Linked DNA regions of Notamacropus eugenii. The protein of the gene in region 1 interacts with the protein of each later gene in a pairwise test. Links are inferred from orthologs where the notes say so. Each region holds a gene or a part of one and is shown in the gene's direction. Other genes may lie near its edges.

The links.
Region 2: the proteins of USHBP1 (region 1) and MED4 interact in binary tests that used the Homo sapiens proteins (3 or more experiments, as listed by UniProt). The two-hybrid records come from large-scale screens. The link is inferred for Notamacropus eugenii from reciprocal best matches to the Homo sapiens genes USHBP1 and MED4.
Region 3: the proteins of USHBP1 (region 1) and CNNM3 interact in binary tests that used the Homo sapiens proteins (3 or more experiments, as listed by UniProt). The two-hybrid records come from large-scale screens. The link is inferred for Notamacropus eugenii from reciprocal best matches to the Homo sapiens genes USHBP1 and CNNM3.
Region 4: the proteins of USHBP1 (region 1) and EXOC8 interact in binary tests that used the Homo sapiens proteins (3 or more experiments, as listed by UniProt). The two-hybrid records come from large-scale screens. The link is inferred for Notamacropus eugenii from reciprocal best matches to the Homo sapiens genes USHBP1 and EXOC8.

What each region holds. Positions count from the first base shown.
Region 1 is NC_092875.1:60,746,938-60,754,846, reverse strand, and holds the start of USHBP1 (harmonin-binding protein USHBP1), read left to right. Parts: upstream 1-4,903; 5' UTR 4,904-4,915; coding exon 4,916-4,969; exon of another isoform or gene 4,970-5,292; coding exon 5,293-5,462; exon of another isoform or gene 5,463-6,605; intron 6,606-7,909.
Region 2 is NC_092876.1:108,437,604-108,445,261, forward strand, and holds the start of MED4 (mediator of RNA polymerase II transcription subunit 4), read left to right. Parts: upstream 1-4,647; 5' UTR 4,648-4,975; coding exon 4,976-5,103; intron 5,104-7,658. UniProt on the Homo sapiens protein: Component of the Mediator complex, a coactivator involved in the regulated transcription of nearly all RNA polymerase II-dependent genes.
Region 3 is NC_092872.1:523,504,818-523,512,325, reverse strand, and holds the start of CNNM3 (metal transporter CNNM3), read left to right. Parts: upstream 1-4,506; 5' UTR 4,507-4,533; coding exon 4,534-5,887; intron 5,888-7,508. UniProt on the Homo sapiens protein: Probable metal transporter.
Region 4 is NC_092873.1:389,687,429-389,695,434, reverse strand, and holds the start of EXOC8 (exocyst complex component 8), read left to right. Parts: upstream 1-4,989; coding exon 4,990-7,176; 3' UTR 7,177-8,006. Other genes in the region: DNA-dependent metalloprotease SPRTN, read right to left, coding at 4,269-4,492. UniProt on the Homo sapiens protein: Component of the exocyst complex involved in the docking of exocytic vesicles with fusion sites on the plasma membrane.

The sequences.
Region 1 (7,909 bases):
ATGGGAAGCACACCGGTGGGGGCTTGTGAACAAAGTACTAGTAATTAGCCTCTCTGGGTGATCCCTAAAATTGGTAGTAGCATCTGTTCTCTGGATATTAAGCCCATCAGGACAGTAACTGCCAGTACAGTACAAAGTATAAGTGGGAGCTGCAGAAATAGCCTTGGAAAATGTACTACAGATGTCCATCCGTTGGGGAATGACTGAACAAGTTGTGGCATATGAATGTAATGGAATACTATTGTGCTGTAAGAAATGATAAGCAGAGACTTCAGAACAACCTGGAAAGACTTATATGAACTGAGGCTGAGTGAAGTGAGCAGAACCAGGAAAACATCATACTAAGTAAAAGCCACATTGTGCGATGACTGACTGATAGACTTAGCTCTTCTCAGCAATGCAGGGATTGAAGACAACTCCAAAAGACTCACTATGGAAAGTGCTAGTCATGTCCAGAGAAAGAACCTTGGAGTCTGAATGCAGATGGAGGTAGACTATTTGCTCTCCTTTTCTTTTGTTGTTTCATTTTGTTTCTTCTTTCTCATGATTTTTCCCATTAGTTCTAATTCTTCTTTACATCATGACTAATGTGAAAATATGTTTAATATGAATGTATAAGTAGAGCCTATATCAGATTCATGCTGTTTTGGTGAGGGGGGAGGAGAGGCAGAGGGAGAAAATTAAAAACTCAAAATCTATGGAAGTAAATGTTGAAAACTAAAAATAAATTAATTATCTTTAAAAAAAAAAAAAAAGGAAAGGTGCTACAATATGTTCTACAATTTTTTCTGGAACTGAGTAAAGCTCAGTGGCCCATTGGAAATCAGGACATTTGCCTTTCTCCAATCCTATAAGACTGATCCCTTCTTTTCTCCCAGAACTTTTAGTGATCACTGACAGTGGCTCAGCAATCATATCCGCCAACCCTGTTCTAGAATGTCATCAGTAGAGACAGGATATAGTCCATTCACATCTGGCTTCTTGAACTCATTTCTCTCAGGGATCTTGCCTTTCAATAATCCACTTACTATTTTGTTCTATCATTCCTAGCCTCCCCATTTCCATTCTCCTAGTTCTCTCCCCATTCATGCTTCCCAAATTTTTTTCCCATTCTGATTCTTCCAGTTTTTTCTGATTCTCATTTCTTCATCCTTACCACTCACTCCCCTTAGATCTGCCCCATCTTACTCTTCAGTTCTAACAACCTTACTTCCCTCCCTGTTTCTCATCCCCTCAAGTCTCTCCCTCACCCCCTATTCTCCTCCCTCATTTCCTTCCTTCCTTGCTTTTGGTCCTAGGGTGTGTAGGGAACACATGCCCTTGGGGAGGAAACTACACAATAGGGACCCACGTGACAGGGGGGAGGTGGTATCCTACTTCCCTGAGTCCAGCCCCCAGTCTTTCCGGCACTGGCTTGACCAGCTGTTGACAGTGATGGTCCTATTAGTAGGACTGGTGGCCTGGGCTTTCACTCTGTCAGTAACAGGGAGCCCTGGGGGAGTCCTGGTCTCCTGAAGCTTTCCTTCTCTTGATGACCCCACTGTGAGCCAGAGGTACCCATTACACCTGGGAGGGTCTGGGGGTCCTGCCTTAGCAGTGGGGGTGGTGATCTCCCTGTCCTAGCTTTACTCTTGGCTTTGGGTATCTGGATCCCCACAGGCTTTGTTAAGAAAAGGGAACAAGGGTGATGAGGGACTGTGTCAGGCCCTTGGTATGAGTCTGATAAATGCAGGCAGGAGGGTATCAGTGAGCTAGGATCCAGTATTTTCATCCACTGCAACTCTGGTAACTCCCGGGGTAATGAGGCTGGATAGAATGGGAGCTCTGAAGTCCCAACTCACTCACCCTTCCTAGAAGGATAAGTATCTTCCAGTCAGATGTATACTGGGGCTCATGCTGGCTGGGTCTGGTTTTGGAATCTCTTCTCAGCTTCTAAAAGCTCTCTTTCCCTTCTGACTCTGGGCTCAGCCCCAGAACTTCCAATGGAAGGTTTTTCAAAGCTTTGATATTTACCATCTGTGTGACCTTGGGCAAATCACTTCCCTAATCTGATTCTTAGTTTCTTCATCTGCTAAAGGAAGGGCTTGGTCTAGGTAGTGGTTCCCATCCTTTTCAGGCATGAAAAGCAGTGGCATTACTGGCATCCATTATGCAAGATGAATTTGTATTTTATTAATCATTATGTATATTTTAATAAGTGATATGTGTATATATAAGCAAAAGTATTTGTTTAGCCTGCAGAAGATAAATTGTTTGCTCATTTGTTACACTGAGACAGTCCTTCCATGACATGGAGCTTTTGCATTAACTCTGAGATTGACAGGAGTCTGCAGCCTGCAGATCAAGAACCACTGGGCCAGGAGATACTGATGATATCTCCATGAACGGTCAACCTGTGGCACTAGAAGGGACCTTAAAAAGAGGTCATGTAGTACACATTGTTTTACAGATAAGAAAACTGAGGCCCAGACAGGGAAAGTTACTTGCATCAGGTCACAGAGAGAATCAGTGGCCAAGTTAACTTTAGCCATTCCTAACTCAAGATAAAGATCTCCTCAAAGGACCATCTGAGCTATCAAAACCTAGCATTTATGTATGCCCAGTCCAGAGCCAGGCATCCTGTGAGGTATGGGAAAAGACAGGGGAAAGGAAAGAACTAGCTCTGCCCTTGGGGAGCTTGTTGTAGTCAGGCTGGGGAGATGAAACTCCCATGGGATGTTTTGAGAATCATGTAGAAGAATATGTCTCCTCCTCTATCTCTGCCTGCCAATATCCTGCCCTTCCTTCTTGTCTCAGTTCCAAAGTGATCTTCTCCAGGAAGTCTTCCCTGTTCCACCCCACCCCTATCAGAAGTGATCTCTCTCTCCTCTGAGACCCTATCTAACTGTCTTGTGGTCTTGCCTTGTATTTCTGGGCATAGAAGAAAAAAGCTATTTTCCCAGCTAGACAGTAAGTTCTTAGCCCTGTCTCTCCCATAGTCCCAAGTAAATGTATGTTGAAAAATGGGAGGAAGGAATGCTGCTAAATGTTAGGTAGAGGAGGAGACAAGGAGAGAACTTGGAATTCTTGGCTAAGGAGTTTAACTGTTTGTTCCATGGGTGATAGGGAGCCACAGAAAATGAGAGGAAGGGCATGACCAAAGCTGAATTTTAGGAAGATTCAACGTTTAAATTTAATAAGCATTTAAATGGCATTTATGAGATACAATGAGCCGGGTACTGGGGATACAAAGACAAAAAGGGACCATTCTGCACTCAAAGAGTTTGCTTTTTTGTGGGATTCAGTATGTGCACAGACAAGTTTAAAGAAAGATGATTTAAGAAGGAAGAGAATACTAGCAAATGGTTGGACTGGGGAAAGTTTTCTGGAAGAGGATGAAATGAAATAAAAGCCTTTATTAAGCATTTACTATGTACCAAGCACTATGCTAAGTGTTAAGAGACTGGAGGGGGAGAAGCTAGAAGCAGGCAGGGGGACTAGCTGGAGACTGATTGGTATAGGAGGACTTTGGAAAGAGAAGCACATCTGCTGAATTCTGGAACTGGGAAAGCAGACAGTGACGAGGGAAGCAATACACCCTTATCAGCAGTCAGAAATGCAGGTAGGTGAGGCATGGGGTTGCATGGGGCAGGTAGCGATCAGATGTGAGGATGAGCAAAAGATTCCCAATTTGGATAGAAAGGGAGGTTGTTAGAGCAGGGATTCTTTTTTTAATTAATTAATTTTTGGTTTTCAATATTCACTCTTATAAGATTATGAGTTCTAAATTTCCCCTCCTCTCTCCCCAAGATGGCACACAACCTAACATACGCCATACATGTACAATCATATCAAACGTATTTCTACATCAGCTGTGTTCTGAAAGAAGAATCAGAACAAAAAGGGAAAACCACGGGAAAGGGGAAAAAAGGAGAAAGTAGTCTGCTTTGATCTGCATTCAGACTCCATGGTTCTTTCTCTGGATGTGGATAGCATTTTCTATCATGGGACTTTTGGAGTTGTCTTAAATCACTGTTGTGGAGAAGAGGTAGGTCTATCAAGGTTGGTCATCAAACAATGTTGCTGTTCCTGCATATAGTGACATAGTTCTGTAGATTAGGGATTCTTAACCTTGGGCCCACGGACTCCCTAGGGGTCTGCAGATATATTCCTGGGAGACCATGCATTTACATATACATATATGTGTGTATATGTATATATGTATGTGTGTGTGTATATATATATACACACACACACATACATATATAGACAACTGTAAAAATACAGAGGATTACAAAGGAAACCAATTAAATTGCATTTTTATTTTATGCATTGAAAAACATTATTCTGAGAAGGTTTCACCATATGTTTCACCAGACTAACTTCCAAAGGGCTCCAGGACACAAATGGGTTAGAGTATCATCTATCAGAGTATTACATGTAAACTTCCTTCTAAGACCTCTGCCTGCCTTTTCCAGGGATTTCTTCTATATTTCTTGCTGGACCAGTGACTGATATCACATAACCTAAGCTCTCCCTAAGCTGACAAGTATGGTAAAGTAAGTAGCTGTACCAGGTAAGGAAGAGAGAAAGAGCTCTAGTCTGATTCTTTCACAATGTCTGGTTGGAAGACTCAATGTAAAGACTTGACTTGATGAGTGTAGCTGGGTAAGGAAAAAAGATGATGGGGAGGTGCCTTTGAGAGTTCAGACTAGGGAGACTGAGAGTATGGCAGTGCTGGTGACAGAAACGGAAATCAGGAAGATGAACTTGTTTGGGTGCGGATGAGACACTAAGAACTAAGGTCCAACAAAACAAAGGTAAAAGGTCACAGGGCCAAAGTCTTTGGGATTCATGGCTGGACAGAAATAGATTGGGGGGATGTCAGCGGGGCCCACCTTCTCTCTGTCCCCCACAGGTCAGCTCCAAACCAAAGATGAGCAGCCGAGCTAGCAGACCCCGGAGCCGGCGGGGGAGGGCACCACCCCCAGTGAGTGATGGCAATCCATGGACAGGCCGAGTGTGGCCACCTCTCCCTCTGTCAGGCAGGGTGGGGTTGGAAAGAATGGAAAGGCCCCTGGGTTACCTTAACTCTGGAGGCCTTTCCCCACCTCTCAAGCTTTAGTCTTGGGGCCTATTTGCCAATCTGAAACCCTCATCTTCCCAGAAAATTCTGAACCTTAAGTTCTGCCCAATGGAGGTATCCCCAGAATTCCTTGACCAGAGTGTCCCCTCCATGACCCACAATACTGACATAGGATGTTAGTCCACTGGGGCTCAGAACCCCGTGACCAAGGCTAAGGGTGCTTGCAGGGGGAGCTGGACCCTGTGGTGGAGAGCACTGAAGAGGCAGACACCATGGGAAGCAGCGTTGGACCAGAGCAGGCACCCAGACTGCCCAGGGAAGAGTCACTGGCAGAGCACCTGGTCATCACTGCAGAGCCCAGCAGCCAGAGTGACTGTCTACAGCTGGACAGACCCAGGTAGGACTGGGGCTGGGGGGCAAAGGGCAGAAAGGTATGACCCCCTGTCATGTCTTACTGCTCTGAGCTCTGACTTTACAGGGAGAAAGCTGGCTTATAGGCTTCCTAAAGTTTCTCCCAGCTCTGACTTCATGTACTCTGTTCCAATGTCCCTTTCCAGCTCTGCCATTTCATGTTCTGAGGGCTCTCCCTTCTCTGACACTGTGTTCTAACATCCCTCTCAGCTCTGACATTCCCTGTTCTAAGGGCCCTCCCAGTTCTGATATCCTGGGTTCTAAGGGTCCTCCCAGCCCTGATACTCTGGGTTCTAAGGGCCCTCCATCTCTGACAGTCTGTGTCCTAAGGTCCTTCCCAACTCTAACAGTCTGTGACTCAGGAAAGAATTTGACTCTTCTGGAATGATTTGTAGTTGTTGGATTTCTGCTTTTAAAGGACACATTATTGGTCATTTCTCTGGTTATGTAATCACAGAGTCTCAGCTTCTGAAGGACTTTTGAAGGTCAAAAGGTTTAACTTTTACCTGGTGCTGAGGAGCCCTTTGAACACAGAACCTCGTGTGAGACAACATAGCTAGCAGCGATTAAGCACGCGTGCGCACACGCACGCACACACACACTTGCACACACACAGACACAGACATACACACACAGCTACACACACACATACACACACAGACACAGACATACACATACACACACAGCTACAGACACACATACACACACAGACACAGACATACACATACACACACAGCTACACACACACATACACACACAGACACAGACATACACACACACACACACACACACACACACACACACACACATTGGGCCTTGGAAGAGACACTAGGTTTCAATAAGGAGCCCACAATACAGAAAGGGACAAGTGTCCTATAGGTAGTCGCAACAGGGAAAGGGGTGGTGATGGGACCTAGGATTTTATAGGTGAGGCAGCACCAGCTGAAGAACTTCCTGTACCATCACACGTGGGGAAACATCTTGGCCACGGGTCATCTTGAGGAGTTTCCTGGAGCATTGGGGAGTTCAGTGATTTTCATGGAATCCCAGAGCCAGGATGCAGAACGGAAAGGATTGTAACTCAGATCTCCATAGGCAGCTCACCGCTGTCCGCTATACCACAGGACCTCTAGACGGGCGATAAGCAAACACAAGTTTGTATAATTATGGTACCTGTATGTGCCCACATACACACGTATGTGTACCTACCTACATATATACATGTACCTACATATACATAAAATAGTTCTAATAGAGTATATTTACAGAATCTTAGAATATATAACATAGGAATATATAGAATAATGGGGCATAGACTAATATAGAATATGGAATCTTAAAATATAGCATCTTATATACAATATAAAAATACCTAGAATAATATAGACTAATAAAGCATTAATATAGAATTTTAAAATATAGGTATATGTATTTATAGCAACTTAGAATATACAATTGATATAAAATGAAAGGTAATCATTTGTTGTATTATAGTTATAAATGTATACACATATACTTATAGAATTTTAGAATATGTATATATATTCATAGGAACTTAGAATAGATATAATGGCTGTAATATAACACATAGGTCTATACATATACTTAAAGAATCTTAAATACATGCGATATAGAAACATAGAGAATGACAGACTATAGTCCAGAAGGGATTAATATAGAATCTTAGAATGCATACATGTGTATATATGTATATATATTTAATTGGATCTCTACATAGAGAGAGACAGATACACAAGAAGCACCAGAACATGGAGGAGAAAGGCTCTGCCTCTGAGCCAGAAGACAACCCCTCACACATATTAGCGGCATGACTCTAACCAAGTCACTCTCTAAATGCAGAGAGGGAGAAAGGGGGCTAACCTCTATTAACAGAAGGGAGTTTCTTCATGGAGGTATTCCCTACATCAGTGAAACCACAGATTCTCTCTCTCTCTCTTTCTCTCTCATCTCTTTCTTTCTCTCTCTGTCTCTGTCTCTTTTTAATCTCTCTCTCTTTCTGTCTCTGTCTGTCTCTTTCTTCCTTTGTATCTCTCTCTCTTTTCCTCTTTCTCACAGTCTCAGTCTCTCTCTTTCCTTTTCACTCCATTTCTGTCTCCCTCTCTATCTCTCTCTTCCTTTCTGTCTCTCCTTTTCTCTCATCTCTTTCTTTCTCTCTGTCTTTTTCTCTCTTTCTCTGTCTATTTCCCTTTCTCTTTCCATCTCTGTCTCTCTCTCACAAACATAAGAGCCTTGGAGAGTTATTTTTTTAAGTGCTATGTAAGGCCTATTGGGGAAAGCTCTTACCAAATGAGGGGCTGGGAGAGGGACAGCTGGGTACAAGAGAAAGAAATTTCCCAGGGGTGGTAGCATTTAAATTTGATTTTGAAGAATAACTAGGAGTCATCTGGTGGTGAGAGAGAGGGAAAACATTCT
Region 2 (7,658 bases), on another chromosome or scaffold:
CCCCATCCTATAGAAGGCTACACTTAAACATGAATAGATATATATATGCACACACACTCACATATGCACACATACATATATATGTACGCATACCCATATATAATATACACATACATATATACAATATATGTAAGACCATGCTATACATATTTCTATGTCAGTACTTTCTCTGGAGGTGGATAGTACCTTCCTTCATGGGTCAAAGTCCTTCCATGTTTTTCTAAAATCAACCAGCTCATTATTTCTTACATCAAAGTGAGTATTCCATCATAATCTTCTATCTCAACTTGTTTAACCATTCCTCAATTGAAGGTCATCTATCATTTTAGTCAACTTGATAGATGTAAGATGATATCTCAAAGTTGTTTTAATTTGCCCTTCTCTAATCAATAATGATTCAGAGCATTTTTTCATATGACTATAGTTTTGATTTCTTCATTGAAAAATTGCTTGTTTATATTCTTTGATCATTTATCATGGGGGAATGACTTGTATTCTTATAAATTTCACAAAGTCCTTTATATATTTGAGAGACCTTTATCTGAGAGATTGTCTATAAAAGTTTTTCTTCTAATTTTCTGCTTTCCTTCTAATTTTGGCTACATTGATCATTGAAATTATCCATTTCACACCTCAAATGTTCTCTATCTCTTGTTTCTTCATGTATTATTCTCCTATCCATGAGTCTGATAGTTAATATGTTCAATGCTCTAATTTTCTTGTGATACTTCCCTTTATATCCAGGTCATGTATCCATTTTGACCTTATCTTGGTACATAGTTTAAGAAATTGGTCTCAATTTGGTCTCAGTGCTCAGTTTTTGCCAGACTGCTTTCCAGCTTTCCCAACAATCTGTACGAAATAAAGAATTCTTATCCCTAAACTTAAATCTTTATATTCGACAAACACAAGGTTGCTATAGTCCTGTTCTCCTTTACCATCTTGTTCTAGAACTTCAGAGCAATTTTCATTGCAATATTGTATCAAGATTCTTCTTTTGGATCATAATTTTCAGGTAGTCCAACAATCTTTATATCGTCTCTCCTCCATCTGTTCTCCAGATTGGTTGTTTTTCTAATGAGATATTTCACATTCTCTTCTATATTTTCATTCTTTTGACCTTATTTTATTATTTTTTTAGTATCTTACAATATCAGCAACTTCCTCTTGCCCAATTCTAGCCTTCATTTTTATAAATTTGACTCAGTTCCCTATATGTCTGAGAAATGAGGCCTTTATTCAAGAAAGTTGCTTCAAAATTTTTTTCAGTTGCCATTGCTAACTGTATTTCCCTCCATCCTGTTCCTCCAATTCTAGTTTTCAAAGAGTTGTTTTCTTAAGTCTTTGGATCTCTTTTTCCAGTTGGTTGACTTTCTTTTTCATAATTTTCTTAGATTGCTCTTATTTTTTCTTCTAATTTTTCCTCAATCTCTTTTATTTGATTTTTGAAGTAGTAAGTTCTTCCATTTTAAGTTCTTCCAAGAACCCTTTTGGGCTTGTGATCAGCGGACATTTCTCTTTGAAAAAGAAATGCCTTTTTAAATTTCACCATCTTCCTCTGAATATGAACTCAGATCTTCTTTACCTCCAAAGTAGCCATCTATGGTAGGGTTCTTTCTCCTTTGCTTACTCATTTTTTATTTTTATTTTATTTTTAGCTGCTTATTATTGTAATCAGGTTCTAGTCCCAAGATGTGGGGAATGGCGGCCCAGGTGTCAGGTCTGTCTTACCATGACTTTCTGAGCTCTGTCCAGGGCCCAATCTTGAGCACCCCTCTTTATTCCTAAGCCATGGCTAGGGCCCCCAGCCGCACTGACTTGTAAATGCTCTTACTCCCTGCAGTCCCTCCCAGTGGCTGCAAACTTCACCTCTCCCTCTCTGCCCTGGAAACAAAATCAGGGACTCTGCTCTCCTTCTAGTGCCATAGCCAGCAGGGCTCCTGTCTGCTATCAGGCATGTGCTTGCTCCTTCTTGCCCACAGCTGCAGTCCAGGACCAATGTCTGATGAGCACAGCTGGGTCTGGCATCCAGGAACAGAAGAGGATCTTTTAATCTTACCCTACTTTGGACCCCTACAATGAGTGTGAGGTGAAAGTTTCTGAGGCCTGAGTTGACTGCCCCTTGACCCATCTGCCCCCAGGGTTTATAGTTTGTTGATTCACAGGAGTCTGCCAAGAGCTGTTTGCACTTCACTTAGGCCAAACCTCAACACCTCAAGTCTTTCCAGAAGTCTTCCCAAGTTGTCTTAGGAGGACAACTGTTTTACCTTGACTTTTATTTATTTCTGCTGCTCTTTGTTCATTTTGAGCGTAATATTTGCTGCAGTCTAGGAGTCTTGCGAACCCCAAAATTCAAGGGCAAAGGGATTGGGTATGCCTTGAAAGAATTCAACCCCCTCAAGTCTTCTTGCAGTCCAAGCCATTTATTAAAACACCAATTGGAGTGGATGAGATTCCTAGAGTCTGTGCTATTTGTGACACCTATACAAGTGGGCCAGATTTTAAGAATCTGACCAACATAATGGGGGAAAGATGGACGCTTTTCTACAGAAAGACTGTGGGAAGATCTGTGTCAAGTAAGCTGATTAAGTAATCAAGATGGGCTAGGGTGGGCCAGATGCCCACTCTAGATGAACTGGGCTGTGTAGGAAAGTCCAGAGTCTTTTAGAGGTCTATCATTAGTGCCCCATCAATGTTCTGTCTTTGTGGGGGAAATTTGTAGAGCTTGGAATTTTCTGATCTACTCTGCCAACTTCCCAGAATCCTCTAATAAAAAAATCTCATCTCATTCTGATCTCGTATTGGTCTGGTCAGCCACAGTCTGACACACTGAAATTTCACTGTATCATGGTGATGTCATTTTGGTCCTCTTCAAAGACGAAGGACAACAACCAATACAAAATCCCATCTTTTACAGGAAGCCTTCCCCAATGCCTCTTAGTTCTAGTGCTTTCCCCTTGTTAATTATTTCCTATTTATTCTCTGCATAGCTTGTTTGTTTTTTGTTGCCTCCTCATTAGACTGTGAGCTCTTTGAGGATGGGGAATATCTTTTGCCTCCTCTTATTCACCAGCATGGCATACAATATGCACTTGTATGTAAGGTGAATTTTAATGTGTTTAAAGTGACTTTTTGTTATTATTTCTCAAAGTTCAGTTTTCCAGGATCCATAGCTATAACAATCTTCAGTTCCCAGGTACTAGATGAGTTCCCACAGTTATGGTTTAAAACATCTCCACCACACTTGTGCATAGTTATATAATGGTAAATAACACAAACATCCACTGTGGCTGCACAGTGAGATACAGGGATGTGGTGATGTAAATTTGTGAGCCTGTTGCTGGTAATATGCCTTCTTTGTCTGTTGGTCTATAAAACAGGTGGTCACCAGGCATCGAATGGGGAACCTTTAGCGTTGAATGCACAAATGCTGTATGTGCCTCAACTGGACCCCATTGAAGCTTGAGGGAAATCCTTAGGGTTGAATGCACCAAGCTGGAATGCTGTGCATGCCTTGATTGGCCCATCGGCCCCCATCAAGGCTTGGGGGGAATCTGTTTGCCTCAACTGGCCCCCGTTGAGGGTTGAAGATTTAGTGGAAGCACAAGTTGTACCTGTCTCTATTGACCCCATCTAAACTTAGGGGTAGTTGTCTCCTGCTTCTCACCAGCCCCTGTGATAAGAGTGATTAAGGAATCCTGTAGGAGTTTGTGCTCTGTTATCAGCAACCCCTTCTCAGAGAACCAGACTAGAATAAAATAAGCTTATTAACCCCTTTTGAGTGTCTTTCCTGTCTGACCAAATCAAGAGTGAACCTGTGCCAGCAGCCCTTAAGTGTGCTCCATTTTACGTCTCACAGCACTTCACAAATGTTTCTTAATTAATTAGAATCCCTTGTTTCCTTCAAAAGACAAAAGCAGTTCCCCTGCCTTTTCCATGAAGCTTTCCCTGGACACCTGGCTTCTGGCATCCTCCCCTAAAAAAATCAGTTGGCATGTCCTAGTACTTATGTCTATCTGCATTTTCTCCCCTATCTTGAGGACAAGGACTAGGGTCACCCTTATCTTCTCTCACACTAAGACAGACTCATAATCCGGGCGCTTTATGTCAGGTATTTATGCTGAGGCAGTGTGGCACAGTGGGTAGAAAGCTAAGGAAACTAGAAAGGTTTGGGTTCATGGTCCTACTTCTTGCCCCCTGGGGTGCGTGGACCTGGGCAGGCCACTTTATCTTTGAACTGCAGAGAAGGCACAGCTGGGGGGAGACTGACTTGAAGAGGCTCGCAATCTGCCCCCCAGTACAGTATTGATTAGGCAAAGCGGGGCCCAGTCCTCTATCTTACTAGGCACTACCAGTCCAAACCACTGCTTCCTGAGCCGCCCCAGGGGGCCACCGAGGGCGGTCCTGCTTGGGTCACACTCAAGGTGGTCTGAGAGGCAGGATGGCACAGCGGGTGTAGACAGGTTCTGACTGTCCCACCGCAGTGGTGGGACCTCGGCCCTTCCTCATCTGCAATCCGAGGGGCGCCCCGGAGGACCTCCGAGGTCCTTTCAGCCCCAGACCTAAGATCCTGTGATGTGCATCACAGCCTGAGGAGGGGCGTTTCCACACCGGGAATGGTTTCCATAGCAACGAAGTCATAGACCCACATTAAAAAAAAAAAAAAAGATTGAGTTGGTTCGTAGAAGCATTGTGATGCGACAAGAAAACACGGAGTTTGCGCTCTTTTTCCCCAAGTCTCTGTCGTTTCGGATTCGAGATAAGGCGTCCGCGGGAGAAGCCAAGTCCCGGCTTCCCCAGGAGGGGGCACGGCGCCTGCAGCTGCTCCTCCGCCCCGCTAGCGGCCGCTGTCGGAGCGGCGGCGCTCCCCTCCCCCTAACTGCGCACTAGATGTTGTCGCACTGCTGCGGCTGCCGCATTCGTCTGTCTGCGGGCGGCGGGGAGGCGCGAATCGTCTGCTCTCTCTGCCTCGACGATGGCTGCGGCTTCGGCTACGGAGAAGGAGAAGGAGCGGCCGGGGTCGGTCAGCATCGCCAACGTGCCCGGCAACACCACGCGGGAGAAGCTGCTGTCTGTGCTGGAGGACCTGGAGGTGCTGTCGAGGTAGGGCTGCCGGGGGCAGGGCCGGGCGGGCGGGAGGCTGCAGCCGTCCAGGAGGCGGCCCGAGGCGCGGATTCAGCCTGCCGCGTCCCTCCGGGGCGGTCGGGGTGATGGGCCCGGGGCGGCCCGGCCGCCCGGGGAAGCGCGGCTGCGCAGCGGCCTGTGTCGGCGGGGAGCCCCGCGCCGGGCCTCGGCTTCCTGAGCCGTAGAAGGAGGGCCTTGTCCTCCCGCGCTGGTCACTCCGGGTAGTAGCCCCTGTTTATTTGGCCTCCCTGTCGATTTAAGTAGAACTTGTTCCGGGGGGGCGGGGAGGGGGCGGGGGCAGGCAGGGTGGTGCCCTGAAAAAGAGTGCGCACTTGTGGGCACCAAGGGATGGAGCGTCGGCCTGGGAGGCAGGAAGAACTGAGTGCGAATCCAGCCTCGCCGTTTTAGCTGTCCTTTAAACCAGGCACTTCAGCTGAGCTTAATTTCGTCATCTGTAAAAATGGGGGTGATAGTAGCCCCTGTCTGCGCAAGGATCATCGTCGTCGTCATCATCATCATTATTAGGGGATGATAATAATACCACCTGTCTCCCCAGGAATCATTATTATTATTATTGATTATTATGGGATGGTAGTAGCCCCTATCTGCCCAAGGATCATCGTCGTCGTCATCATCCTTATTATTGTTGATTATTATGGGATGATAGTAGCCCCTGTCTGCCCAAGGATCATCGTCGTCATCATCATCATCATTATTAGGGGATGATAATAATAACACCTGTCTCCCCAGGAATCATTGTTATTATTATTATTGATTATTATGGGATGAGAGTAACCCCTGTCTGCCCAAGTGTCATCATTATTATTATTAGGGGATAATAGTAACACCTGTCTGCCCAAGTATTCTTATTATTATTATTATTATTATTAGGGGATGATAGTAACACCTGTTTCCCCAAATATCATTATTATTATTTATTATTATCATTAGGTAATAACCCTAACACCTGCCTGCCCAAGTATCATCAGCGTCGTTATTATTATTGTTAATAACCAAATGAGATAACAGCCCAGGCTACGGACGATGAAGGTCAGAACCCACGGAGGTAGTTTCATGGATGGACAGGAGGACAATATGAAAGATGTCAGTGGAGGTGGAGTTAAGGAGAGCTGTATCTGATTGGGTGGTTGGGGAGGGGGGGGAGGTGCAGAGAGAGTGAATCTCTCCCAGATTGCGCACTTAAATAATGGGAAGAGTGATGGAGTCCTGGACAGAAATAAAGGAGATTAAGAGTCCTGGGGGGCTTAAGGAGGCCCGCGATGAGCCCTCTTTCGGACTGATGAGGTCTAAGATGCCCGCGTGACATCCAGGCGGAGCAGCCCAGCAGAATTGTGTCGGAGCGGGGGAGGGAGCTGAGAGCTACGCATGTGGATGGAGGATCATCGGCCTAGAGATGAGAGCTGAATGCTTGGGCGCTGATGAGAGGCAGGGGGACAGGGCTAAAGGATGAAAGGGTGTTACTGAGAGAACATCAAGAGGCCCAAGACAGAGCCCCGGGGAACACGGGCTTAAGACATGGGTGGTGGGCTTGCCATGGAAACTGAGGCGTGATCAGACAGGAGATCCACGTCTAGAACACTCAGAGAGGGGGAGAGCCTCCAGGGAAAAGGGGGTGGCGATCAGTGTCTAAAGCTGAAGAGGATTCAAGGAGGATGTCTGAGCGAAGGCTGTTTTAGGATTTTGGAATTTAGATCATTGGTGAACTTGAAGAAAGCAGTTTTCTGTGAATGGGGGAAATGGACATCAGATTGCAAGGCACTAAGACAATGGAATCTTAACCAAACAATACACCGAAATTGTAAAATATAAATAAATAAAACACTTCTGGTTACATAAAATTTAAAATCTTTTGCATGAATAAAACTGTAATTAAAATAAAAGAGATATTACAGAATGAGGAAGATCTTAACCTCAAACATATACGTGCTTAAACTCAGAATTACAAGATGATATAATAAATTGACAAAGCATGTAAGGCCAAAAACCATTTTGCATTCGATCAGTAGGCAAAGGAAAAAATAGTTTTCTCATTTTTCTCTTTTTAGATCCTCTTGTTGGTTTTCTGATTATGTATTGGTTTTTTGTTCAGGTTTTCACTCTCAGTCTTTTGGTCTTTCAATTTTTCTTGTGTCCTTTATCAGTCACCATTGGGAATTCTGACTCCTGAGTTCCTCCCCCCTTGCTTTGGTTCAGGGACTTGTAGACTGCAATGCTTTAGCTAGCCTTCCTATATTGGAGTATAGGGGGAGTAGGTCAACTGTAGCTTGAGTACCTCTGAGTAGAGGGGAGAGGACCTACTCCGAAATGGTTTTCTATTCCCTTTTCTGTCAGAGGGGAGCTCTTTTCTCTCCTCTAGCTCTGAGCCTGTATGCTATCTTCTGCCCTGGATTCTTCTGTCCTCCCTTCATTTCTTCAAATGACTGAGCAGAATTGGTGTCTACCCTTTTTGTGGAAAAGGGGACTTGTGCAGAGTCACTCACTGCTCTGGGAAATCCATAAAACTGGACCTTGGG
Region 3 (7,508 bases), on another chromosome or scaffold:
TGTCTTCCCAGTGACAGGACAGGTATTCTGGATCTGTTGGATAATTATGTATTAACATAATGTTTGGAAACAGAAATGTATTCAAGATGGAGAGGAGACCAATGATATACTGTCATTGGCATGGACTTGGAGTCAGAAGATCTGATTTTGAGTCCCCATTCTGGGCTTCAGTTTCCTCAGTTGTAAGATGAATGGGTTGTACTAGAACATTTCTGGGGCAGCTGGTAGTACAGTGGATAGAGTGCCAGGCTTGTAGTCAAGAAGACTAATTTTTCTGAGTTCAAATCTGGCCTCAGACACTAACTGTGTGACCCTGGGCAAGTCACTTAACTTTACTGTTTGCCTTAGTTTCCTCATCTATAAAATGAGCTGGAGAAGGAAATGGCAAACCACTCCAGTATCTTTGTCAAGAAAACCCCAAATAGGGTCATGATGAGTCAGGCACAACTGAAACGACTGAACAGCAATAGAAGATCTGTAGGGTCCTTTGCAGTTCTAACATTCCATCAAAGTCTTTTCAACAGTCTGGTCTTTTGGCATAGGAGTTTACAAAACGGAAGATGCTGACCCATGAAACTAAGTTCAAGGCAATATGGTTCTGGATTTGGAGCTAGAGGACCTGGGTTTTAACTGTGGTTCTGTCATCTACTCCACTTGGCCTTGGCTAAGTCATTTCCCTTCTTTGGTTCTCAGTTCCCTCACCTATAAAGTGTAGGGGCTTGACCTTCCAGCTCTAAATATGATTCCACGACCATATCTTTTTGAATAAGGAATTATGGTATAAGGAAAGAAGTTCATATTTGGTTTTGAGTTCTACTTTAGACAATTGTACAAGTTGTATATCCCCTGGCAAGTCACATAACTTCTTCTGGGCCTCAGTTTCCTCATCTATAAAATGAGGATAGTAATGCCTGTGGTGCCTTGAGCCTATAAATGTCCATTGTTATTAAGATACTATAAGAAGGGGTGGAGACTATAATTAAGGAAAACCAGAAGGACACAAATGGGCCACAGTCCAGGCCCGAGGGATTGGTTAATGTCTGGCTTAGTGCTGGGGTCATACAAAGAGACACATCTAGAAGCCAGTGTAAGGGGAAAAAGTTAGGAATGGACTGGGTACATTACCACCACTGAAAACCTGCTGGATTCTTTAAAGTCTTTGGATATATTTTAAATGTTTTCCAAGTTTGTTAATTCCTAGTAATATCAGATAATCTTAAATCAATGGATAAGTATTTATTAATAATAACTTAATTATTAACATTTATTAAGTACCTAATACTCTTTTATAGCTCCTCTTTTAAGGAGAAAATTACTTCTCTAACAATAAGAAACTGCTTCTGGGTCCACAGGGGCTGGTGTCCTTTGCCCATTCCCTTCTTCATTACGAGGTCCATGTACTATGGACATATGTACATGGTCTGGACCTGTTCAGTCCTGGTAGCCCACCCTCTAATGAGAGTGGAGCTATGCTCTCATTTCTCATTCTTCAGCTCAAATCTTAACCCTAGTAATCCAGTATGACTTAGCTTAGGTTTTGGCTCATAGCTGATGTTTCTCCAAAAAGGGGCAGTAGAAAGTTATTCAGTGTGTATCATGAATCAGAGATGCAGGTATGCCTACACACAAGACAAATAAAACACAAAAGATAGCTCACACTGACAGAGCAATTTAGAACAGTGTTTTGCAATAACTGCCATTAACAGTCTTCTGGGAGGCTGATACTTAAACCTCATCACAACATAAAATAGTTTGCAGGTCTGGCTTCATATTAGACACTTTACATTTCACAGGAGCTCTCAACTGTCCAAACAACTCCCAGTATAACATCTGGTAAAATGGAGCCAATGATGGTCTTGTCTTCTATGACAAAGAAAACCCCCTTGCAACCAGGCAGTTTCACTCAATAAACCCAGTCCTTTTGGACCTCTTGGTCTTAAAAGTTGACTCCAAGCCTTTATACCTCCACCTTAAGGTTGATAATTACCTGTTCAGAAAGGGAAACACAAATCAGCCATAGGTCCAGATGCAAGCTTTCTTAATAGAATCCATTCTTCTTGTGGGAGTAGGGGAAAGCACATATCCCATCTCCACACAACTCATTGGGAGTTAAGAGAGTGAGTGAGCTCATTACTTCCCCTGCAGGAGAGTCAAGGCAAGGAGAGCTGACAGGAAGCAGGTTCTTCTTTGAACTGATTCAGCATCCTATCTCCTTGCCATCATAAGATGGGAAGAAGGACTAAAGGTCCATTCAAGATTTTCCAGGAGTCCCTTCAGCACTGGCCCCAGACATCTCATTTGTTTGACCAGGATCAAGAAGTGTAACTGAGAATGTCCTGTAGTATGTACCCCGTTCCAGACATACAGAGCAGTGAGTAAAAATCCAGAATCTGTGTCTACTCACAATGGTCAGTCAGTTGTGGCAATTAAAGTTCTTTTTGGCCAGCAGAACTTTTCTATCTTCTCCAGTTTGGTCATATTTAAAAAAAAAAAAATTTTATATTTTAACAGTTAACAAACATTTCCCAACAAAACAATCAAGCAATTTTTTCTCCTCAAAATACATTCCTGTAAAAGTTATCCAGCTTGAGTTTCCCACTACACCCTCTCAGCCACCAAGGGTTTCTAATCTAATGGTTGTCCTGTCCAGAACACACACCTTAAGCTAGGAGTCCCCTAAATCCATCGACCATTTCAGCAGCATTACCAGAGCAGTTTCATCATTATTCACATTTATATGGCATTTTACTCTTATAAAACCTACTCTTCATAGCAATCCTAGGAGGGGGGTAGTGTTACAAACGAAGAAACGGAATTTCACAGAGGCTAAGGAACTTGCCTAGAGTCATACAGCTATTAAGTAGCTGAGCTGAGGAATCTCAACCCAGTTTTCCTGGATCCAAATCCAGGGTTCTGTCTTGTATTCCATGATTCCTAACTAATAATTGCCAAGCAACATAGAAAAAAATAAAATCAAATGATCTCTTGAGCTAGTGAACCTGACCTTGATTGTACTCTGTTGATTTTTCAGGATCTCTTCCTGGGATTGCTTCTCCCTGGGATTGAAGTTTAACACAAAACAAAATACAGGAATGCTTGCATGGTTTGAGGCAGAAGAGACCTAGGAGCCTGTCTGGTTCAATCTAATTTCACAAACAAGAAAACCAAAGACCAAAGAGGGCAAGCAGACTCTAAAAGGTAGAATGTAAGTTCCATGAGGACAAGCACTCAGGCATATAAAAAAAAAAATTTTTTTTTTTTTTGCATCCTCAGTGCCTTGCACCTAAGATAGTTAATACAGATTTATTGATTTGGAATTTAATTGGGAGGAAGAAGAATTTGAATCCTGCCTTATACTTATTAACTATGACACAGGGCAACAACGTCAGCCTTAGTTGGTTGGATTCAATGACCCCTAAGGTCCTTTCCAGCTATAAACCTATAACCTTATAGAACCCAGTAGTACTTCTCAATCAGTGTGTGCCTTTAGAAGTTGTTAAAGTTCTTTGAAGAGAGGACTTCGGGAGGTGTTGGGTTTCAGGTACCCAATAGTTGGTCAACTTGCTCCATGAGAACAAAAACCTGTTTTGCGGGGCTTTCCCAGTTCTAGGACCGCCACGGCTTGGCCTCTTGTGAGTCAATGGACAAAAATACTCCTAGTCGATGCTCAATTCAATAAACCTTCATCAAGTACCGGAGCAGATAATAACGACACAACAAAAAGCCTCTGTCCTCAAGGAGCTCACCCACCGATAAGTAAATATAACACATATACCAAAGGAATATAACTAGGGTTGGGATTGGTTGGTTGGGGCGAGGAGTGAGAACACTAATAACGGAATCAGGGGAGATCTCCAGCAGGAAGGTGGGCAGCTGCACGTTGCAGTGGATGGAGCGCCTGGCTTGAGCCAGAAAGACCAAGTTCAAATTTCTGAAATGGGCGGAAGAAGGAAACGGCAAAGCACTGCAGTATCGAAGTCGGACACGACTGAAACGGCTCACCAGCTGATAATTGGGGGAGTCAGGAAAGGTCGGTCTCCAATAGGTAGGGGCACTTGAAATTAAGCTTTGAGAGGACCTTAAGCAGTGATGAGAGAGAGAATTTTAGGCGTAAGTGATGGACAGCCTGTGCAAACGCGTGGAGATGGGAGATGTAATGCTGTGCTTCTGCATTAAAAAAAAACCAACTAAAATAAGGAGCCTAAAATGTAAAAACATTAAATTAAATTAACTCAATAGATTCAACTGGCACCTTTCCCCCGCCTCCCGCCCCCACTACCCAACCCAGTTCCCAAGGGGTCAGACGGAGCATGTCACCTCTTTAAAACCAAACTCCACCACGTGCCCCGCCCCCCTCAGGTCACCCGCCCCCATCTTGTTTACAACGCGGCGCAGCCTAGTACTACTCCTGACGCTCCGCCCCCCTCCGTTTCCTATTGGCCAGAGGGGCGCGGATGGGCGCGTTGACTGGCCGGAGGGAGGCGGGGACCCTGGAGTAGGTTGCGCGGGCGGCCTAGAGGGGGGTGGCTGGTGATGGCGGCGGCGGCGGCAGCAGCGGCGACAGGCGGCCTACGCTGGGTGCTCGCCGCGCTGTGCTTGGGCTGCGCCGCTGGGGGGGAAGCGTCAGGCCCGCGCGTGCTGGGCTTTTGCTTGGAAGAGGACGGAGACGGGGCCGAGGGTCCAGTGTGGGCCCGGGGCCGGGTGGTCCGGGCCGCGCCCGGGGCCGCCTTCCGCTTGCGGCTCTTCGGCTCCGGCTTCGCCAACCGCTCGTGGCCCTGGGTGGCCTTCGCTCCCGCGGGCGAGGGCTGCCCAGAGGGGGGAGGGGAGCCGGAGCAGGGGGGCGCGCACGGGGGCGCGGGCGCGCCCCTGAGCGTGAACCCCGAAGCCGTGCGGCCTCACTCGGCGCTGCTCGCGGTGCGCGTGGAGCCCGGCGGGCCCGCGGGGGGCGCGCGCTACCGCTTGTGCAGCCGCGGGGGGCCCCAGGGGAGCTGGACGCCCGCGGCCGAGGGGGACTCGCTGGCCGTGGAGGAGGAGCCCCTGCTGCCCTGGGCGCTGGGCCTGCTGGCGGCCGCGCTGCTGGGGCTGGCGGCGCTGGCCCGGGGGCTGCAGCTGAGCGCCCTGGCGCTGGAGCCGGCTGAAGTGCAGGTGCTGCGCGAGAGCGGCTCGGAGGCGGAGCGGGCGGCGGCGCGGCGCCTGGAGCCCCTGCGGCGCTGGGGCAGCTTCGCCCTGTGCGCCCTACTGCTGCTGGCCAGTCTGGCCCAGGCTGCGCTCGCCGTGCTCCTCTACCGTGCCGTGGGCCAAAGAGCTGTGCCCGCCGTGCTGGGCAGCGCGGGCCTCGTCTACCTGGTGGGCGAGGTGGCGCCCGCGGCCGTCAGCGGCCGATGGGGCCTGAGCCTGGCCCCGCGCGCGCTGGGGCTCACCCGCCTGGCCGTCCTGCTCACTTTCCCCGTGGCCTTGCCCGTGGGCAAGCTCTTGGAGCTGGCCCTGCGCCCGGAAGGCGGGCGGCTGCGGGAGCGCGTGGTGGATCTGGCCCGGGGCACTGACCCCTACAATGAGTTCGTGAGGGAGGAGTTCAGCAAGGGGGCCCTGCGGTGCAAAACGGTGGAGGACGTGCTCACCCCGCTCAAAGATTGTTTCATGCTGGACTCTTCGGCCGTCCTGGACTTCGGCGTCATGTCCACCATCATGCAGAGCGGCTACACCCGCATCCCCGTGTACGAGGAAGAGCGCTCCAACATCGTGGACATGCTCTATCTCAAGGACTTGGCCTTCGTGGACCCGGAGGACTGCACCCCGCTCAGCACCATCATCCGATTCTACAATCACCCCCTCCACTTCGTCTTCAACGACACCAAGCTGGATGCCGTCCTGGAGGAATTCAAACGAGGTAACTGGTGCTGCCGTTCGGAGCTGTGGCTTCCTCCTGTAGGGAGTTGGACTGGGATTTGAATGGGATACTTGGAAGAGTGGGGCGGGGCCGCTGATGTAGGGAGGATGTACCCTGGTCTCCGTGCACTTGAGTATCCATTGGATTTTGGATTGCGAAGCTGGTAGGGACCGCAGAAGTCATCTAGTTCCACCTCCCTCATTTACAAATGAGGAATCTGAATCACACAGCCCAGGTGGCCCAGCTGGAATTTGAACCCAAATCCTCCATCTCCAAACCTAGCTTTCCTCTTGTCCTGTAGCTGTCCTGCAACCTCGTTTCATTTGAAAAAAAAAAATTCAGTAAGACAATCTAGCCGAAGGCAGGGGTCAGGGCACAAGGATGTGCCATGTCAAGAGAAGTATTAAGAAGTCTGTATGGAAGCCCAGAGCTGGGGGAAGATCCTTGGCCAAGTCGCCTTTTCTGGGTCTCACGAGCACAGGAGCGTAGATTTTAAAGCCAGACCTTTGCGTCAAAAGAACTCATCGAAGACCTGAATCAGAAACTGAAGGGATCTAATGGTTTTAGAGCCCTGGATAGTCATAGATTTGGGAGCTTTAGAGAATCAAACCATTCCATCCTCTATTTTAGAGATAAGAAATCTGAGACCCAGAAAAGGTGAAGAGATTTACCCAAAGTGACAGTTAATGAGTGGCAGAGCTGGGATTTGAACTTGGGCCTCCGGATTCCAGATCCAGTGCTCATTGCTGGACATCCATCTTAATTTCAGTTCACTTTGTTAAATTATTGGTTGCTCGAGTATTTATATTATGTGTAGAATACCATTATTCTCCTTCCCCTTTCTTCTTTCTTCCCTGTTAGTCAGTTTAGGGAGTCTTGTTCTTTCTGAGATCTTTTGTAGAATTTCTGAGGATTTCTTAAACTATAGCTGGAAGCAGAACAAAGCTCGGAATTTGAATTTAAAGTTTTATCCACCCTTGTGGGGAGGGAGCCCATTTATCTGTTCATCTTTAAGTTGGCACTTTCAGTTTCTAGGGGAACCTTGGATACTGTTGAAGGCATATAATAATAACAATAGCAAAGACTTGTTATGTTTACAGAGCATTTAGATATGTTTTCTCATTGGTTCATCTCTACCACCCTGGGAGATTGGTACTGTTGTATTATCCCCTTTTTACTGGTGAGAAAACTGTCCCAGAGAAGTTAAGGGACTTGCCCTGGGTCACACAACTAGGTCAGGCCACTAAGTCTCTGAAGTTAGTGCAGCCCTCTGTGCCACATGGCTGCTTCTGCCACCTGTGCTGTCTGTTTACAGAGAATAAAGCAACAATACTTAAGGTTTTCTAAAGAATAAAGAACTTTTATTTTTCTTTATTTAAAACAATTTTACTGATGTCACTATAGCTTTTGTCTTTCTTCTTGTGTAGCACCTTCCCTTCCCTCCAGGTTACTGCCCCCATTTGCCTGTGCTTTTCTTTGAGAGTTGAGAATAAACTTGTCAGACTCCCTGGGAAATACAGGGTGCATGATTCCTTTTGTTTTCTCTTGCCTGTATACATTGTAGATTTTATCAGTAGGTCACTTCGGGGTTAAAAGGGTGAGACAACATAGTACATAGGGA
Region 4 (8,006 bases), on another chromosome or scaffold:
TCATGGATCACATCACCTTGAAAGCACTTAAAACTTGAGAAACTCCAAAATTAGTTCTGCAAATAGCAACACAAAAAAGCCTGACGTTTGGGACAGTGGCTCCCCATCCCCAGGTGAGCAGAGTCCAACTTTAACAAAGTACAAAGTCAAGAAACAGGCTGGAGAAAAAGAGCAACAAAACAAAAAAAATAATTTGACTATAAAAAACTACTACAGTGGCAGAGAAGACCAACATACCATCTCAGAAGAATACAACAGCTACAATGCTGTAATAAGTTCTGAAAACATTAAAGAGATACAAGCAGAAGAGGAAAAATTGGGGGAAAAATGAGAATGATGCAAGAAAATTATGAAGAGAATGTAATTTAATTACACCTTGGTAAAAGAAGCACAAAAAATACTGAAGATAACTTTAAAAAACAGAAGTGGACTAAGGGTAAAAGAAGCACAAAAATTCACTGAAGAAAAGAACTCCTTAAAAAGCATAATTTGCTAAATGGAAAAAAAAAAAGCTTACTGAAGAAAATCATTCCTTAGAAATTAGAATTGAGCAAGTGGAAGCTAAGGACTACATAAAACATCGAGAAACAAAGTCAAAAGAATGGGGGAAAAATAGAATATAAACTCTCTCACTGGAAAAATAACTGACCTGGAAAGTAGATTGAGGAGAAATAATTTAAGAATTATTAGACTACCTGAAAGCCATCACCAAAAAAAGGGATCTAGACATCAAATTTCAAAAAATTATTAAGGAAATATGTGCTAATATCTTAGCTCCACCAGGCAATTAGAAACTGAAAGAATCTACCTACCAATTACCTCCTGAAAGAAACCAAAATGAAAACTCCCACGCATAGTATAGCCAACTTTCTGAGATGCCAGGACAAAGAGAAAATACTTCAACCAGCTTGAAAGAAGCCACTGAAATACTATGTAGACAGGATCACACAAGATTTAGCAGCCTCCATGTTAAAGAGGAGGGCTTGGAATATGCTCTGGAAGGCAAAGGAACTAGGATTACAACCAAGAATAACCTACCCAGCAAAACTAAGTATAATCCTTCCAGGGGAAAAAGAATGCTTGAAAATTCCTGATGAAAATAATCGGGATAAATAGAAAATCTGACATTCAAACACAAGACTCAAGAGGAGAATAAAATGATAAACATTAATAAGCAATCACAAAAGACACAAAAGTTTACATTGCTATATGGGAAGGTGATACACATAACTCTTAAGAACTTTATCATTATTAGGGTAGTTAAAATCTATAGAGGTCATAAGTCTAAATCCAATACAACATTGAGATGATTAAAAAAAGAGGGTGGGTGGTAGTGAGAAACGGGGATACAGTAGGAGGAGGACAGGAAAGGCAGAATGTGAAATTTTTCTCACATAAAAGGGCACTTTTTGGATGCTTTCTCCTTTCCTTTTCTGTGACACTACTTTCTCCTGGTTCTCCTCTGTGTATAAAAGCTCCTTCTCATTCTCTTACTAATTAATCATCCAAATTATGCCTCTCAACTGTGGGTCTCCTACACCTTTCTTTTCTCTCTAAACATTCTTTTTTGGTTACCTCTACAGCTCTCAAAGGTTTAACTATCAAATCTATACTGATGATTTGGAAGACACAGAGATCCAGCTCAATTGTCTCCTTGGAGCTTCAACTTCACATGACCAGATGCCTATGGACAACCTGAGATACCTCAAACTCAACATGTCTAAAACAGAACTCATTATTCTGTCCCTGAATCAACTCTTGCTTCTTCCAAACTTCCCCATATCTGCCAAAGGCACCATCATTCTTACAACTGTCCAGGTTCATAATCTTGGCCTTATCTTCATTTCCTCAGTAGCCACATAATGAATCAGTTGCCAAACCTGTTTCTCCTTCCACAACCTAGATCACACCTGATATGTTTTATCAGACCCTTTCTTGATACAGCAACCACCCAAGTTCAAGCCTAAATCACTTCTCACTTGATTACTTTGAAGGACTCCTTCCTAATTGATCATCCAGATTCAAATCTCTCCCCACTTTCAGTCCAGGCTACAATTCCCAGATTTTTTTTATAATGCCTCTTAGCCTATTCTTAAATTACAAGAGGAAGCTCAAAAGAAATTTCAGCTGAATTTAGTCCCAAAACTCAACTTACAAACCCAGCAAGGTAAAAAGAGAGGTACACAACAGGCATTAAAGAGCCAAAACAAAGTAAAACAGCAATTAGGTATACGGCCATTACCAATACAAAGGCATCTTAGCATTCTGGTAAGCTAGTATTTGGGGGGTGGGGGGGGAGGAGAAGGGGAGAACACTTTCTATTTCTCAAAATTTGATCCCTTCCAGATGGTCATAAGGTAAAAATGAGGACCGGAAATTCCTTACATGAACTTAAAAACTACTTAAATTACCAAGCTCTGCCTCTTTTTAAAGGCTATCAGGAGCCCTTTGAATAGCCATTTTCCATAGAGTGAACACCAACAACCTTCTGCCTCAGCATTTCTTGATGACATCTCATCCAACACAATAACTACAAGAGGAGAATCAAAGGACTCTGGTCACAAACTAAGAAACTCACACTGAGATATTCCCATTTGAGGCCTCTGGTTTTTCCATTTGATGCTGTATTTTAACAAGTTGAAATATTATCTCAAGGAATGTCACAAGGAAGAACTTGTCTGGGAAAGCAGAGATCATAAAACCCTGGGCAAAGCCTTCATTTGACTTTCGAATTATTCTTCTCACAGCAGACTTTTTGAAAACATGACTATGAGCTTGTCTCATATCTCGATCAGCAAGCATCAATTTAAAGTGACAGAGTAGGATTAAGGGAGAGATTTCACCAGTATGCCTCAGGTATGAAGAGGGTCAGGCCAAGGCAGGATGAGCCAGGACTCCTGGGTTTCTACTTTAGGGCAGTACTGTCCAAAGTGATTTTTCTTAATCATAAATATGACTAATTCTTCCCTTCTAATTAACCTCCAGTGGTTTCCTGTTTTCTCTGGAATCAAATAAAAACTCCTCTTCTTGACTTTCAGTGCCCTCACAACCTGACCCCACGGTATCTTTCTAGGTTCACTGGACATTACTCCCTCCATTACTCTGAGATCCAGCAAACTGGCCTTCCCTGTTTCTCACAAACACTCCATTTTCCACCTCTGTCTTTCCTTCACTGTCCCCCAAGCCTGAAATGCAATCCAATCTCAACTCAGCTTCATAGAATCTCTTCCTTGAGGGTGCAATTCAAACCACCTTGTATTTATTCTGTTTTTTTGGAGTTTTTTTTATACTTGTACGTCATTGCTGTCTGCCCCTTATTAGGAGCAGCTCCTTGCTGCTTGCAAAAAGGGATTGCTTAATTAATTAATTATACTGATATGCCCAGTGCCCAGCCCATAGTGGTCATTTACTAGCTGCTGACTAATTGCTGCATATCAAGAGAAAGGCCACCACACCAAGTTGACTGCTTTCCTGTGGAATGCTTTTTGAGAAAGATGTGGATAAGAGTCCCAAAGAAAAGTAAGGCATGGATGGAAGATTCAAACTCCTTCAACAAATAGAAGAAAAAACTGAGTCCTAGGAAGGATTGAGTGACTCGCCCAAGGTCAAACATGTATCAAGTGGCAGAGTTAGTAACCAAATTCAAGTCCTGTGATTCTAAATTGGATTAGATGACTTCTGAAGCCCCTTCAAAATCTAAATCCAATCACTGCGGCAGAGGGTGGATTACCAGGTGGTGATTTCTGAGTGCCGGAAGCGGGGTGGGGGGGGTGGAAGCGGAGAGGGGGGTCAGAAGGAGGAAAGGATCACAGACGCTCATACCAATCAAAGTTTGGGGGGCTGCGCTTCAGTAAGAATCCACATCCATTAAAACATAATTCTTACTACTGAAGCAAAAGAAGGGGAGCACTTGTAAACACTAAGGCTGCTAGGACTGGGTTCAAGCCCTGGGGAGGACGATAAGATGCGTATCTTCTCCATCAGATTTTGCTTCAGGGCAAGGCAGGTTCTAGACTACGAAGTTCCGGCCCAGTCCTCCGCATTCAAAAGTACGCAGGAAGGAGGGGGAGGTAAAAGCACAAGACGGCAGAACTCATTTTTGGCTTTATCGCTCCAAGAAGAAATCTGGGCCGGGGCAGCCCAGGTCCGCGCCGGGGGCAGCCCAGGTCCGTGCCGGGGGCCAAGGGGCCCGAGGGACCGCTCCCAGGCGGGGCAGCCCGGGCTTCCCCGCCCCCACGGCCCCCAGGGCACTGCGGGGACGGACTTACAGCGTCATCCGAAAGCTCCACTTCACCTCCACCGCCTCCAGCCGCCCCCAGAAATACAGCTCATTGAACTGCACGAACAGCGCTCGGGGATCCGGGTTGGGGTCCACGAGCTCCCAAGCCTCGTCCACCAGCGACTTGGGCTCCTTCGGGGGCGAGACGAACGCCGGGACCTCCGTGTTCCATTCCTCCTGCAGCTTCAGGGCCAGCACAAAGTCCTCTTCCATCCCGGCCGGGAGAGCGGAAAGGAGCCCGGAGGGAGGAGCCGGAAAACACCGAAAGATGCAAACTCACAGTGCAGCCAGCTGGGCTCCTGCAGGCTGACGCCGGAGTTTTGAATCAGCGGGTCGGAAACGGAAGCTGATCTCGCGAGAACCACAAACCATCAACTTCCGGTATCTCCGGGAAGGCCTGAGTCGTCAGAGCCTTGACTACCGGAGGGAGTTTCCCAGTCGCCGCCTCCTGCTTTTCTTCCTCTCTTAGTCTTAAGTGTTTTTTTTTTTTTTTTTTGCACAGGCGCAGCAGTCAGGTGGCTTCATTTTCCTGACACCCCTTAAGCCCGCCCTCGGCGCGCATGCGTCGTGATTGGCAGCCAGCGCCGGCCGACTCCTTCCGCGCAGGCGCATTCACTTCGCTTCCGCCCGTCTCCCCCGGTCCCTGAACTCCGTCGGAGTTGGGTGGGTCTCGGCGGCCGCGGAGACCGTGACAGTGACTGGGGGAAGCGATGACCATGGCCATGTCAGACAGCGGGGCGAGCCGCCTGCGGCGGCAGCTGGAATCGAGCGGTTTCGAGGCGCGGCTGTACGTGAAGCAGCTGTCGCAGCAGTCGGACGGCGACCGGGACCTGCAGGAGCACCGGCAGCGGATCCAGGCGCTGGCCGAGGAAACGGCCCAGAATCTGAAGCGCAACGTGTACCAGAACTACCGGCAGTTCATCGAGACGGCGCGCGAGATCTCCTACCTGGAGAGCGAGATGTACCAGCTCAGCCACCTGCTGACGGAGCAGAAGAGCAGCCTCGAGAGCATCCCGCTCACCCTGCTCCCCGCCGCCGCGGCCGCCGCCGCCGCCGCGGGAGCCGCCGCCGGGGCCGAGGAGGGCGGCGCGGGCGGCCCGGGAGGCCGAGACCACCTGCGAGGCCCGGCCGGCTTCTTCGCGGGCCACGGGGGCGCCGCCCGGGACAGCCAGAGTGCGGGCGAGGAAGGCAAGCAGCGCACGCTGACCACCTTGCTGGAGAAAGTGGAGGGCTGCAGGGACATGCTGGAGACCCCCGGGCAGTACCTGGTCTACAACGGGGACCTGGTGGAGTATGAGGCGGACCACATGGCCCAGCTGCAGCGGGTGCACGGTTTTCTCATGAACGACTGCCTGCTGGTGGCCACCTGGCTGCCCCAGCGCCGGGGCATGTACCGCTACAACGCCCTCTACCCGCTGGACCGTCTGGCGGTGGTGAACGTCAAGGATAACCCGCCCATGAAGGACATGTTCAAGCTGCTGATGTTCCCCGAGAGCCGAATCTTTCAGGCGGAGAATGCCAAGATCAAAAGGGAGTGGCTGGAAGTGCTGGAGGAAACCAAGCGGGCCCTCGGCGAGAAAAGGCGAAGGGAACAGGAGGAGGCCGCCGCCCCGCGGGGCCCGCCCCACGTCTCTTCGCAGGCCACCAACCCATTTGAGGACGATGAAGAGGAGGAGGAGCCTACTTCTCCCGAGGTCGAGGAGAAAGTGGACTTATCGATGGAATGGATCCAGGAGTTGCCGGAGGACCTGGATGTTTGTATTGCCCAGAGGGACTTTGAAGGGGCGGTGGACTTGTTGGATAAGTTAAACCACTATCTGGAGGGCAAGCCGTGCCCACCTTCTGTAAAGGAGCTGAGGGCCAAAGTGGATGAGCGAGTCCGGCAACTCACTGAAGTGCTAGTCTTTGAACTTTCCCCCGATCGTTCTCTAAGAGGCGGTCCTAAGGCCACTCGAAGGGCAGTTTCTCAGTTAATACGACTTGGCCAGTGTACCAAGGCTTGTGAACTGTTTTTGAGAAATAGGGCAGCAGCTGTGCACACTGCCATCAGACAGCTGCGAATTGAAGGTGCCACTTTACTCTACATTCACAAGTTATGTCATGTATTCTTCACCAGCCTTCTTGAGACTGCTAGGGAGTTTGAAACTGATTTTGCAGGCACCAACAGTGGTTGCTACTCTGCCTTTATTGTTTGGGCCCGTTCAGCCATGGGCATGTTTGTGGATGCTTTTAGCAAGCAGGTATTTGACAGCAAGGAGAGCTTGTCTACAGCAGCCGAGTGTGTAAAGGTGGCTAAGGAACATTGCCAGCAGTTGGGTGATATTGGGTTAGACCTTACTTTCATCATCCATGCACTCCTGGTGAAGGATATCCAAGGAGCTTTGCACAGTTATAAAGAAATCATAATTGAGGCCACCAAGCACCGAAACTCTGAGGAAATGTGGAGGAGGATGAACCTGATGACTCCAGAGGCCTTGGGGAAACTCAAAGAGGAGATGAAAAGCTGTGGGGTGAGCAATTTTGAACAGTACACAGGGGATGACTGCTGGGTGAACCTAAGCTACACAGTAGTGGCCTTCACTAAACAAACTATGGGCTTCTTGGAAGAAGCTCTGAAATTGTATTTTCCAGAGCTGCATATGGTGCTTCTAGAGAGTCTTGTGGAAATAATATTGGTTGCAGTTCAACATGTGGATTACAGTCTCCGATGTGAACAGGACCCAGAAAAGAAAGCCTTTATCAGACAGAATGCATCCTTTCTATATGAAACAGTCCTCCCTGTGGTGGAAAAAAGGTTTGAGCAAGGTGTAGGAAAACCTGCCAAGCAACTCCAAGACTTGAGGAATGCATCTAGACTTATTCGAGTAAATCCTGAAAGTACAACCTCAGTGGTCTGATACACAGCACTTGTATTTTTTTTTTCCAGAGAGGTCTGTTTGTCTATATACAGCATTACTAGTATATTATTTATATAACACATTAAAATCTTCTTTATATCCCAGAACATAGTTTAAAAAAATAAAAGTAAAAAAGGTCATCTCTTATGTAGCAGTTCAAGATGAGAATGTGAAGAATGAAAAAATGGTTAAATTTTATCAAAGGAGTAAAAATCCATTAAGATAATTTGATTTCATCTAATATATTCTTTAATTACCCCTATTCCTTATACCTTGTTGGTCATACCACAGTACTATGCTTCATGATCCTAGGGGCCAAATCACATTTGTTGTATTATTTGTGGTATTTATGCAGCACAGAGAAATATATCTATAATTACATGCAAATCAAACATGTCAACACTTTGTTTCCAAGTTCTGTAAGTCACTGGACTACCAGAAGAATTTTCTGTTTATCTTCAAAGGTATAGTGCCATATAATTAACCCAATTTGCTTCCCTTTAAAAAAAAATGTTATTCAGCAGCATAGTCAAAAAATATTAGCAAACTTAACCTTAGGGTAAATTTCAGACAAAAATGTTCAAGAAGACAGTTTATTTTGTTGAAACTGAGACTATGCCAGTCACTTTAGTGTATTAGAAAGAAACGAGTTAATAAAAATAAATTGTGCAATTAATTTTGTTAGCACAATTGGAATAAACTTAATTACATTTAGTTGGTTATTGTCCTTTAAAAATCTGCTTTGGAAACAAAATGCTTGGAAAACCAAAGTGCTGTGACAGTCATTTGTTTCTTGTTCTTGAATTTTAATTTCATTTTCTTTGTGACAT